Bombyx mori: one gene and its partner. The protein of the gene in region 1 purifies or fractionates together with the protein of each later gene. This does not show direct contact. Links are inferred from orthologs where the notes say so. Each region holds a gene or a part of one and is shown on either strand. Other genes may lie near its edges.

Region 1 (6,614 bases):
GCTTTTTGTTTGTAAAATGTGCGAGAGGGACACCACCACTTAATAATCATTCTCTTTTCAGACCGTTTTTCCTTACATCTTTTGCTATTTAAAAATAAACTTTAAGCCATAGAGATAAAGTATATTTTTAGTTTTTATGTCAAACGAAGTAAGCACTCCAGTTAGAATAGTAACTCTATGCTGATTACCCTTTGATTCGTCCATTAGACAAGCAAAAGGAACGCTGCCCATGCAGTAAGAACTTTTTGTCCCAAAGGTCAGTCACGTCTGTGTGTCAGTCACGTCATCGCGTCACCACGTGTGAATGGTTAAATAAAATGGAAAGCAAGCAGTTTAAAAATTTGAAACTGAAAGGTAACTAAATGAGGTGATGTAATACACCACTGTAGATGTTAGATGAGAAGAAATTAAATAACTCCAGTATACTTGTGAAACGCTTAGCTCTTAATTAGCGACCTTTACTACAGTTTTTAACCGGAAAAACGCCAAATATGCTTTCCCGCCAAAAATATTTTTTATAATTATCAAATTTTTCATTAAAGTCGTCGTGGCCTAAAAAAGGACGAAATGTTCGATACGTTCGTATTAAGCGATGCAACGATGTTCGAATCCGGCAGGCGAGTACCAATTTTTGTAATAAAATACTTTTTTTTTTATTGCTTAGATGTTTGGACGAGCTCACAGCCCACCTGATGTTAAGTGGTTACTGGAGCCCATGGACATCTACAACGTAAATGCGCCACCCACCTTGAGATATAAGTTCTAAGATCTCAGTATAGTTACAACGGCTGCCCCACCCTTCAAACCGAAACGCATTACTGCTTCACGGCAGAAATATGCAGGGCGAATACTTAACAAATGTTCACGATTGACTTCCACGGTGAAGGAATAACATCGTGTAATAAAAGCATTCCCGCAAAATTACAATTTTCGTAATTACTGGTGATAGGATCTCGTGTGAGTCCGCACGGGTAGGTACCACCACCCTGCCTATTTCAGCCGTGAAGAGGTAATGCGTTTCAATTTAAAGGGTGGAGCCGTTGTAGCCGTTGTAACCCATTGTAACTATACTGAGTCCTTATAACTCATATCTCAAGGTAAGGGGCGGCATTTACGTTATAGACGTCTATGGGCTCCGGTAACTACTTAACACCAGGTGGACTGTGAGCTCGTCCACTCATCCGTCCGTTCAAGTATAGCACCTTTTGGGGTCGTGGTCTAAACAAAAAAGACAATAATGTTCGAAACTTTGGGTGGCTTGTCCACCCAGCCCTCAAGACAATACAAGATAAAATATACGTAAAAACAAAATCTATACACTGAGGCCATAAGTTTTAAATAATTGGTGCCAAATTCCAATTCAATCAAGGAATTCAAGTCTAGATAAAGATTCCTTAATGAATAAAAGTACATAATATTTTCTTTACAGATATGGGGTATCGATTTAAACACGGAACGGAACTAAAGGACTACTATGATGACGGAGTAGAACAACACAAATCAGTAAAGGCTCTAAAGCTTTGGCGCAAAGTTCATACAGATTGCAAATTTTATTTTAAAATAAAGCTAACAACATCTATACACGAAATATTTATTTCATACGAATCATAAAAATAAGAACCATGAAAAAACTCCTTATAGAAGTCCTTGGCGTTTTAAATCTTCGAAAGTCTTACGATTTACAACATTGCCTTGAGAATCTTCAAATTCTTCATCATTCTCTGCCACGAAACGTTCAGTTTCTTTCTGTTGTTTAATTTTCTCCCACACTGAAAGTAAGTATGTGTTTTTAAAACAACCTTTAATAATTATTTTTTCATTTGGTATTTACTATAATAATAATATAATGACTATAGGAATAAATTTTAACACTGTTGTTTTTCGGAGGTGCTTAAATGATGAAGTTTATCAAAAGCAAATGCCGAATTGTAGAAATAAGCCTTAGTACAGTTGAGAAGGCAAGAAATACAGCTAAATTTGATGTGTACAAAAAGTTGTGAAACAAATTAAGAACGTTAACTTACAAGCAAGGGCATCTTCAATTTGTGTGACATTGGCAAAATGAGCTGTATTCGGTATTCCAAGACATCGCATTCCGTGAGCGTGTCTCCACTCCGCAAAATGTCTCTGAAACGCTTTCGGTCCCTTGTATGTATAGTTCCCGCAAATTTCGCAATTGTAGCTTATATTGAGACCGTGTAACTTGTATAACCAATATGGAATAGGCTGAAATACCATTCTTACATTTATTATTATGGAATATGTAAAAATTATTTATATCTTGTTTTGGAATCTTTTACAGTATATTCTCACTGATCCGGCACTTCACTAGACTGACATGTCCAATAATCTGGCACTCTCCGTCCACGCCTCCCTCGCCCCTCTACGCTTATGCGTATGTAATGCATCAGAAACAGAAGAAACAGGAGAATGAGATCCTGAAGTGATATTCTATCTATTGCCGATTGATTACAAAATCTATCAGAAAGAGGATTGAAGTTGAGTTGAGTGAAGAAGGGATCGAAGAAACAGAGCAAATTATGACAGATGTAGAAATATGCGAAGTAGTACAAGAAGAAGAAACCTTTAAATACAACTGTAAGAGTTAAACCAGATGAAGCATTTAATTGTTTCAATACCTGCATGACATGGGCAGAAGAAAGCGTCATTTCTGCCAAAGGTATTGTTATAATTCTTCTAAACATGCGAGAAGAGGTTGTTAAGCAAGGCAGTGCGTTTCCAGAGATCTTTTTTGCCACGTACCATCCGGCTATGGAATGAGCTCCCCTCCACGGTGTTTCCCGAGCGCTATGACATGTCCTTCTTCAAACGAGGCTTGTGGAGAGTATTAAGCGGTAGGCAGCAGCTTGGCTCTGCCCCTGGCATTGCTGAAGTCCATGAGCGACGGTAACCACTCACCATCAGGTGGGCCGTATGCTCATCTGCCTACAGGGGCAATAAAAAAAAAAAAAAATGATTTTTTCTCTATAATCCAGATTTAACCGAACATTCCATTAATCCAGCACCCTCTGGTTTTTAACAGTTTTTAACAGTACTGAATTAGTGAAATTATACTGTAATTACATTTGGCCAAAATATTTCAGCATCTACCGTTTATGCGATCTTATTAATGTCTATTTGTATACATACATACCTAGTCAGGTCATAAATTCTGTCACATGTTTAATGTAAAATAATTGAAACAATTTATTCATTATGTAACCATTCATATACCAAAATGAACTTAACAAAACATAGATTCTTATGACACTAAAGTTTATTCAAATTGACCTCCGTGATTTTGAATACAGGCCTTCAATCTGCGCGGCCAGTCGTCTATCGCAGCACGAACGAGGTCCATGTCAATATCGGCGGCTGCCTTAATCAAGGATGTCTTGAGTGACTCCAAATTGGGATGAGGCTTTGAGCACGCCTTTTCCTCCAAGTGTTGCCATATCTTGTAATCTAACGGATTCAAATCTGGACTGGAGGAGGGCCAGTCTTCGTGCCGGATGAAGTCGATTTCACGCGCCGCCAGCCAGTCTTGTGTGCTCTTCGCTCTATGAGCTGGCGCCGAATCTTGTTGGAATACCCAGTGCCTGTTATTGAACATGGTATGAGAAACAGGTTCCACAAGGTTCGTCAGGACTGTATTTTGATACACAACTGCATTCGTTTTTACACTTTTCTCACAAAAATGTACCTCTGTTAAGCCCCAATAAGAAACTCCCAACCATACCATGAGCGAGGATGGAAAATGACCTCGTTGGATACGCGGAATACGGTTGCTCGCTTCTTCACTACTGTGTGCGTACACCTTATCATTTTGTTTGTTGTAGCTCTCTTCTACGGTAAAAATTTTTTCATCCGAAAAAAGAATTTCCCGATATTTTTTTCCTGCGTACCGCTTCAACAAAGCGCGGCATCTCTTCAGTCTCAGGTCCATTAGACGAGCATTCAAACGATGTCCTGTTTTTCTTCGATATGCCCGAAGCCCTTTTTTTTTTTTTTTTTTAACGCTGGGGAATCCATTTACGGATACCCGGTCCGGGGGGGTAACGAACCGGGTTATGTCGGACTCCGGCGCCTCCTGAGAGGAAGAGGGGGACGAGAAGGTCCTCCACCTCCCCGAATTTCTCGCAAGAGACTACGCCTTGAAAAAGGCGCGCGAAGCACTTGCCCCGCAGAACGACTACCGACTAAACCCCATCGAGCTCCACCACACCGGCTACACCAGACATACGGTACCGCAGTGCGCGCCGAAAGTCTGCCTTCGCCGGTATCCGTCCTGATGATAAGACGGGATTTCATATCCGGGAAAATCCCGAAGGACGTCATTTCGGGAGATACACCGTGGGCGGCGCACAGGAGCCACCTTGCACCGCTCCACCACCGGACCGACAGTCGAGTACCGGGCGCCCCCGCACCCGCCACCTGATAGTCCCTACGGGGGCTGAGCGGGAGCTTCACGCCCGCGCCGGCCATCCCGCCTTCTGCGCTGAGGTGCTGAAGAGGGATCCCACTCCCTTTCACGCTCCTCAGCGTCACGGGACGCCATTACCAGGTCACAAAACCTGGCCATGGCCTCCCAATGCCCGAAGCCCTAAGTCTTCATTTAACACCCTTTTCACCGTGGTTCTGCTTAACCCCATCTGAAGGGCCAACAGTTTCTACTTACGTTTGGGATTTCTTTGAATTCGCGCCTTCACAGCTTTTATCACTGCTGGAGTCCTAACAGACCGAGGGCGACCACTTCTTGACCTGTCATCTACACTAGAGTCTTCATTGTATCGTTTGATGGTACGATAAACGAATCTTTTGGTTATATTCAAATTTTTCAGTATGTTAAAAATTTGAATTGGCGCGTAACCGCAACGATGCAACGCAATAACTGCAACACGGTCTTCTTTAAGCGTCCACTCCATATTTAAAAATGAGTAAAATTCTAAAAGTATACATTTTTATTTTCATGAACAAATCGAAATTCGAATTCAATAAACTTTTTTGTGGCCAGCATTCTAAAATAAAAGTTTTTACTGTGTGACAATACTTATGACCTGACTAGGTATTTATAAAATTTCGCCTGCATATTTACTTTCTAATTCTGTTGCAGAATTATGCAGTTAATAATTATGAGGTTTCAAAGAAGTTCATGCATATGTATTCAATGCATATTTATTTATAAAACATGAAACAAATCAGAACATTTGAACCTCAACCCCAGTCATAGTTGCATAATTTGATATGAATAGACGCGATGTCTTGCCCCATCAGCCTGTTATTTACTAATACATGAGTAATGTTTACATTCGAACTGTTTTTCACAACTTTAGCAAATAATAATCTAAAACTCACCTTTCCATCCCATCCCAGTGGCAAATTCTTAGGATTATATGGCACTTCATCATCATCTGAATCAAGGTCTGGTGCTGCAGAAGCATCACTTTCGTCACCGCTTTCGTCGCGACGTTCACCAGCAGCTCTTGCAGCACGACGCGTTACATTTTCAATAGTTGATGCTCGTGTACTACTTATTATAGTCGCGAACCTATGGAATTCAATCAAAATAACACCTTCTTATGTTAGTTTCTTTTTAGGGCAAAGAAAGCCTACACTTAATGTATTATCCTGTCTTGTATACACATTAAGCTTTTCCTCATGGCTAACCAAATCAATATCAATTGCATTTGTATCCTACTCTACTATTAGTCCTAGTATCCTATTTACATGCCTAGAGTTAGAGATAAACCTTCTAGTACTGTTCTGGTACAACTTTTCATTATATTAGCTCTACCGTTGCTCCACTCCAGCCTCGCTTGCACAAAGAAGTTGCTTTCTAAATCTATCAGTTTTCACTCTGCAGTCTAAAAACTATATTCCTTGCATGTTGCTTAGATGTTTTAGTTAGTAAATTATAAAATTAGTAACCAACACTATTTTGAATATTGATTTGGATATTGATTCTTTATTGTTTGGTAATTGAATAATATATTCTACAATAATCTACTTACCTATAAACCTGTGCTTCAATTGCAGCAATGTCTTTTTGTCTTTGTTGTGTGGTAGCCTTTGCCTTATTTCCCTTTTTCGCAACAAGAGACTTGTCAAGGGCTGTTTGACCTTTAGTGCTAAACAACCTAGAATAAAAAAAATATTAAATGTTTTTTTATAGTATTGATAAGAGGACGAGCTCAAAGCCGACCTGCTGTGAAGTAGTTACCGGAGCCCATAGACATCTATAACGTAAATACGGCCACCCACCTTGAGATATGAGTTTTAAGGTCTCAGTATAGTTACAATGTTGTAAACTTACGAAAAAAAAGCTAATATAATACTCACCTCTGTGCTCTTTCTTCCAAAGTTCCACCACATTTTAAGCCGAGAGCCATAAGAGCTGATTTTAATCTGTCCAGGCCAAGAGACGCCAACTCTTCCCATGATGAAAAAGCCGACAGATCTAAATGCGCCCCCACATTTGTTAAAGCTCCACCAGTTTCTTTCTACAAGAATTTAAATGTCAATGTTACCAGTACTAATCATTTTCTAAATTTATTTTCAAAATTTAATTTCAATTCAATATATAATAATACTAAACAAAATTATTTTCATAAAAT
Region 2 (6,582 bases), on another chromosome or scaffold:
TCAAACTGCGCAATAGTCGGTATTCCGACGCTCCGCAATTTTTACGCATTAATAGAGAGTCGATCTATCGACGGCGTATACTCGAAAGGGTTAAATAATATTTCTAAAATTTCACAAGGTAATGATCACGACACCTGAAGTCAGATTTGGATAGTCGTTGTGAATTAGTTCATGATCTAGTTAGCTAGTCTTTTAATTTGGCCCCTAAATAACATAGAGGTTGTTTTTGTTCTGTTTAAGGCTATTTTGATTAATCTGACCAGTAGCCATTTCTCTATTGATGTTTCTAATATGAGATGGCAGAAATTAGAAGAGATGAATTATTACTTTTCATCTTTATTGTATATTAATTGTTATGTAATATGGTGTCAAAGCACTGACCTGGAAAGTGTCTGGTAAAAGGAAGAGAGGCCGCCCCAGAACAACTTGGCGTCGCTCGGTGGAGCAGGAGCTAGGGGTCTTGGGCATGACGTGGGAGGAGCTAGAACAGACTGCCCAAGACCGATACAAATGGAAAAATTTGATTCGAGCCCTACACCCCAGCAGAGGGTAATAGGAAAGCATGATGATGATGAATATGGTGTCTGTAAAACAATGTCTATATTTATAAAACAGTAAGCCATATCTGTTTCGGTTAGTTTCAAATAAAGCTTTGAATTTAACAAAAAATGTCGTAAGTTTTATTTTTGTAATTGGTGGCTTAGATTTACGTTTGAGTGAAATAAAAACCAGTTTAGATTTCCAAGTCTTTTTTATTTGAAAAAGCTTTTATATTTATAACCCAGTCTTTTCAGACATTTTTTTTTTTACTTCGATGGGTGGACGAGCTCACGGCGAACATGGTGTTAAGTGGTTACCAGAGCCCATAGACATCTACAACGTAAGTGCCACCACCCACCTTGAGGTATGAGTTCTAAGTCTCCGTTTTTACAGTATATAGAGAGAGGGGTGAAAACTATTTGGTTTAACCGAAATTAATTTTCGTAATTAAAGGTTCATTTAATTTATTATTAGTACCAACAATTCGATGTTTTTAGTTAAACTTCAATTAAGTTTACCCCATTCAAATAGTTGAAGAAGTTTTTTGTTATTATATTTTTTCCAAATGTTACTTTAGTTTAAATGGCTCTCCTGTAGTTGCAAAAATGTCGCTTAAACCAAATAGCCCCCTTCACCCCTCGATATAATAGTTTTCTCATTCAATACCATAACTTTAAAATATTTGCTTGACCACCTAATTCATTGTGTAATTATATAGTGTTACTGACTAGTACTATATAATACTACTAGCTGGCAAATGTTGTTTTACCATATAAATTATTTCTAGGAAAGATAAATAACCTAGATACCGACTGCAGCGCCCTCTGCTGGGTTGATTTGTGAATCTAAACCATCCAGGGTGCCACCCAAATGCATACAAACACAATCATTCAAATCAGCACAGCCGTTAAGGAGGAGTTCAGTGACACACACACGCACATAAGAAATATATATATATAAAGATATAATATAGTCCAGGTATGTGTAATTCCCGGATAGTCAAAAGATATTTGATTAGAAATTACTTAGTTATGTTTGGTTGTTTCCCAGACCCATGACGAAGGAGAAAATGGTAGTGTAGGGCCATTAAATGTGTAATACCAATGCATTTATTAATAATTACATAATGTCTTAATGTAAGTACACACTAGAAACATAGTTTTCAAAATATGACAGACAACATTCACACAGTACAATCACTCTCATTACATACATGAATATTGCTAACATATTGTCTGTAGTTTTACAGAGCACATGGTAGTCAAAAATATCTTTATTGACAATTTAGTAGAAAAATAAAAAATAAAAATGAATCTTAATAATTTAAATGCAAAAACTAAATGTATTTTTCAAGTATTTTCTTTCTAGTTGGAAAATGAAAACTAATCTGCATTGAATAAACAAAGGATAAAAAAAATTGTAAAAAAATAACAGATATCATCGATAACAACAATCCAATTGTATAAATGAATGAATTTAAAAAAATATATGTGAATTTCTCTTGGACCCGAGCTGCAACTCTTTAGACATTGAAAACCATACTTGATCATAATAGCCGTTGGCTTTAAAAAGTCAACAACAAAGTAGTTGATAAAAACAAACTTGTATTTCAATCAAACTTTAGTTGAGAAAAACCTCTGTTTTTATTATTTTAAATAACAGAAACTTTGCAGAAATTAATATTTAAAAACTAAAAAGAAACCTAATGCTAGTGTCTCCTAAACCCATATTTCTTTCTCTCGTAGAACAGATCTGTTTTAGAGCTTCCCAAATTGACAATCTTTGGACAGCCATCTCTCTGTGAAAAATAACAATTTTATTAGCATAATAATATGTATTATTATTATTATTATTATTGTTATCAGCGCACAGACGTCCACTGCCATCGTCCATCGGTCCATCTTGTGGGAGGCCTACCCACGCTACGTCTTCCGATACGCGGTCGCCACTCAAGAACTTTCTGGCCCCAATGGCCATCTGTTCTACGAGCAATGTGTCCTGCCCAATGCCACTTCAATGCCACAATCCTTTTGGCTATACATTTTATTAGGCTTGGCTTAATGTACATGATATTGGGGACGCACACAATCATTATCAGGTCACTTGATCAAGTCAGGTTGACTAGTTTCTTGTGAGTTTTTAAACTATCAAAATATAACGATGTTTTTTGATTTGAGGAAATTTAAATTAATGATTTCGATGCGATTATTTGAGTTCAAAAATTACAAAATTAAAACTTACATCCTTCTCCTGTATCGTGCACTCCTTACAATAATAAGCATCAGATACTCCAGGCCCGCCGCAAATCACACATCGCCCCTGATACGAGCCATAGTTGCACTCGTCACAAATACGAACCAACGTGCACGGACGCACATAAGAATCGCAAATCACACATTTTCCGTCACATTTCTCACATAAACGTCCAATAGCTGGAAAAATAAGAAATAGCATTAAAACAAGCGACACTAAACTTGGTTGTCTTCCATTTTTTAATACTACTAACCGACTCCGGGCTGTTTCCTGCAGAAAATTAAATCTGGATGATGCTTTGCCATGTTTTTAGTTAGGTCTGGTCTGCTGGCGAATGTTCTTTGATTGTTATTATCAAACTTGCCGTTTACTGTTTTTTTATCGAATAACCTACAAAGATTTTGACGATTTTGACCCGGTAATTTTGACAAGTGGCACCATAGATATATTTTTTTGTTACAATTTTTCCTTATTAGGAAAGGCAAAGGGATCTAAGCCCATACCGCCTCATTTGTTCTATATAATTTCTGATATAAATTTATAATAAAGCCAAAGCCAGGTCTTATAGGATTTAAATTATATGAGTCGACTATTATCAAAGCCGGCAATCTGACTTTTGGACAATGATTGGTAAATCAGAAAAAACGAATTATTGACTTTGTATTCCATTGGCAGTCACAAAACTCTTCGGAACGACATCTTAGATAAATAACAGGTTAACTATTAACCTTTATTTAATGCAGGTTTTGAACCGTATTCTTTGAAGGAGACGATTATATTCAAAACAATCTGTATTGACATATCAATAATTTTTTTTTGTCCAAATGCACAGATTGCCACCTTTGATAATAGACGACTCATATCCTGAAATAAAAATTTCATTAAGGCCGAAGCCATGTCCTATAATTTGGCACCATAGATAAGTAGTAGTAGTAGTTTCATTTTTCCAAATGGAAAGGCAAAGGTATCATAGCATACAGCCTAACCTTTTATATATTTTTTTTTATTTTATGAAATATGATACTATGAAATGAAGTGTATTAATTTATGAAACATGGCATAAAATGAAATGAGATGAGATGATATAATATGGGGTATTTTTATGGAAAACGATAATATGAAATGAAATGAAGATGATTAATTTGAGACAACAATCAACTGGGATGAAATTAAATGAAATGAGATGAGATGATATGGGATGAAATATAATCTCAGTAAAATGGTGGTCATTTACTGAGATTTTTTCAGTGGACTTTTTGGAGGATCCCGAGAAGTTACGTCCAGTGGCTTTGTTTCATTTTCCCACATTTGTGCACTGTCACAGATATTAAACAGTTAATAAACCACCGTTATTACACATTTAAACCTGAAGAAACACTAAATAGACAAAATAAAACAAATCACACAACTTCACTCCTCGCGTTCCCACCAAAAAGTCTAATTGCCGGTTTGCGATCGGTCTTAATTGTCAAGTATACTTTTGACAGTTTTACTTCTTTGGTGACACATACGTCACATATTATATGTGATAGATTCAGAAATCAGAAATCAGAAATCAGCATACCCCTAATTCAAACACATGCTTTCAATATTCGCGTCTTTTTTGTATTCCCCAAAACAATGATAATTTAGAGAAAATGACTGCAGACAAGGAAAGCTATGGAGACGAAACCAACCAGGATAGTGAGGTGGAACAAACTCCAACCGAAAATGTCAACGAAGATACTGAAGATGATAAAATAACATTTAAGGATTTGGTAAGTTTTTACATTAAACTGTGTTTGTAATACTAAGTAAATACTGTAATATAATTTTATTGATTTTAATATCAAATGGTGCCTTAGATTTACTAAATTGCTTCAACGTTGAATAAAAATAACACTTTTTGAGGTTATTAACATAAGATTATATTTGCATTTAACCACAGGGAGTTGTAGACGTACTCTGCGAGGCTTGTGAAGAATTGAAATGGAAGAAACCCTCTAAGATTCAAAAAGAAGCTATTCCCGTCGCGTTACTAGGCAAAGATATCATTGGTCTTGCCGAGACAGGTTCTGGTAAGACAGGTGCCTTTGCCCTGCCCATACTTCAAGCACTACTGGAGAACCCGCAGAGATATTTTGCACTTATACTCACACCAACAAGGGAACTGGCATTTCAGATATCAGAACAATTTGAAGCACTTGGTAAGATAATAAAGTTAAATTACAATTTGTTCATTTATCAAGAGCAAACAGCAATAACAGAATATGTATGTAAATATGAGGAAATTGATTGTGTTTATTATTGTTGTAGTTGAGTAACTCATTAATTAGCTTATAGCACACTTAGTGATTCATTATAGAGATTCCTTCGCGCAGCAGCTGCTTTTGAGATCCCTAATCTAGTCCCTACCTATCCCACCAAATCCCACCCCTCCTGGCTGAGCCTTTGCTCGCCCACCTGTCCTGGTGAAACTGGAAAGACCTCTCAGGGCCACCAGTAACTAGGAGTGGGTAATATCGGTTTTGCCGCGTATCGAATCGTATCTATATATCGAGGATCAATATCGGATATTGAATCTATATATTTTCTGAATCTATATATTGATGGATGCTAGTAGATTTTCTCCATTCATGATATTTGAGATTTGAAACGATACGCTGATATAATATCGTAGTAGATATAGATTTAAGTCAACGTTATACGGTTGGTTTTCTGATATCAATTTATAATATGATCTTAAAGTAATAAAAAGAACATGAAAATAAAAATATCAAAAAAACTTTCCTTCATGCTTTTACCAGGCTTAGGACTGGCTACATTATTTTCAGTTTTTAGTATTTTGTGTCTTAATTTAAAATTACAAAATATACCAAAAGCGTGTAGATTTCAAAAGTTTAATACAAACACAAGAAATAAACTCAATTATTTGGATTCAACTAAAAATAGAAAAATGTGTACTTTAAAAATCAAACACAAAAATTTTTTAAGTATTTATAAACACTTGTCCAAAAATTCTAGTTCAAGGTCAAAGCGCGTGAAATTAAATTCAACGATGCAAATAGGCTATACTGCATTCAAGTTAGGGTCGAAAGTTGAAACTTCTTTCCTTAATTGTATCCTGCTGATACGCTAAGAATAATCTACAGACATATGGGCTTAAATATAAGGTTTACAATTGTATGGATAATGCCTGTTTCTGTTTCATTCATCACATGATATCCCTATCGTGCGCTCACTCACTCTGGCCGATTCGATACGAACCAAACGAATATTGCTGATATTAAAGAGTACGATATGCCGATGCGCATCACATCGAGCAATATCGTGTATCGGCTGATATCGAAATATAGATTTCGATTCACGAATCGGTACGATATGGCGATGCGCATCACATCGAGCAATATCGTGTATCGGCTGATATCGATATATAGATTTCGTGCGGGGCGATATCGGATTCAACGATATTGCTGCGATATATAGATATTGAATCTATATACGATTTATATCACCCACTCCTACCAGTAACCCTTCAATCATATAAAAAAAAAAAACTTAGTGATAAGTGGTTACTAGAGCGCATAAACATTGGAAAATGGAGGCTGCTGACTTAGTTGAGATTTCAATTGTAATATGCAAAGGTTGTATTGTCAAAATAGAAAGTGCATAACTATTGACAATTAGCACAGTAGGAACTTTTGCTCACCAAATGCTCTAGTGTCACTAAATTTTTTCAATTTGAATTATGTTTCGGTAGCCAGCTATCATTATAAAATGGTATAGTATTGATAGCAATAAAAGGAGGAG

Evidence for each region. Proteins that work in one complex are often made in the same cells at the same time.
Region 2: the proteins of splicing factor 3A subunit 3 (region 1) and Phf5a purify together in Homo sapiens (affinity purification with mass spectrometry; 3 studies listed by BioGRID and IntAct, with this or other methods). This does not show direct contact. The link is inferred for Bombyx mori from reciprocal best matches to the Homo sapiens genes SF3A3 and PHF5A.

Annotation. Positions count from the first base shown.
Region 1 is NC_085112.1:8,788,680-8,795,293, forward strand, and holds the end of splicing factor 3A subunit 3, read right to left. Parts: intron 6,501-6,614; coding exon 6,340-6,500; intron 6,138-6,339; coding exon 6,012-6,137; intron 5,549-6,011; coding exon 5,356-5,548; intron 2,227-5,355; coding exon 2,025-2,226; intron 1,770-2,024; coding exon 1,636-1,769; 3' UTR 1,578-1,635; downstream 1-1,577. UniProt on the Homo sapiens protein: Component of the 17S U2 SnRNP complex of the spliceosome, a large ribonucleoprotein complex that removes introns from transcribed pre-mRNAs.
Region 2 is NC_085114.1:14,382,708-14,389,289, forward strand, and holds Phf5a (PHD-finger 5A), read right to left. Parts: upstream 3,154-6,582; 5' UTR 3,099-3,153; coding exon 3,047-3,098; intron 2,973-3,046; coding exon 2,782-2,972; intron 2,339-2,781; coding exon 2,249-2,338; 3' UTR 1,632-2,248; downstream 1-1,631. Other genes in the region: ATP-dependent RNA helicase DDX47, read left to right, coding at 4,431-4,550, 4,721-4,979.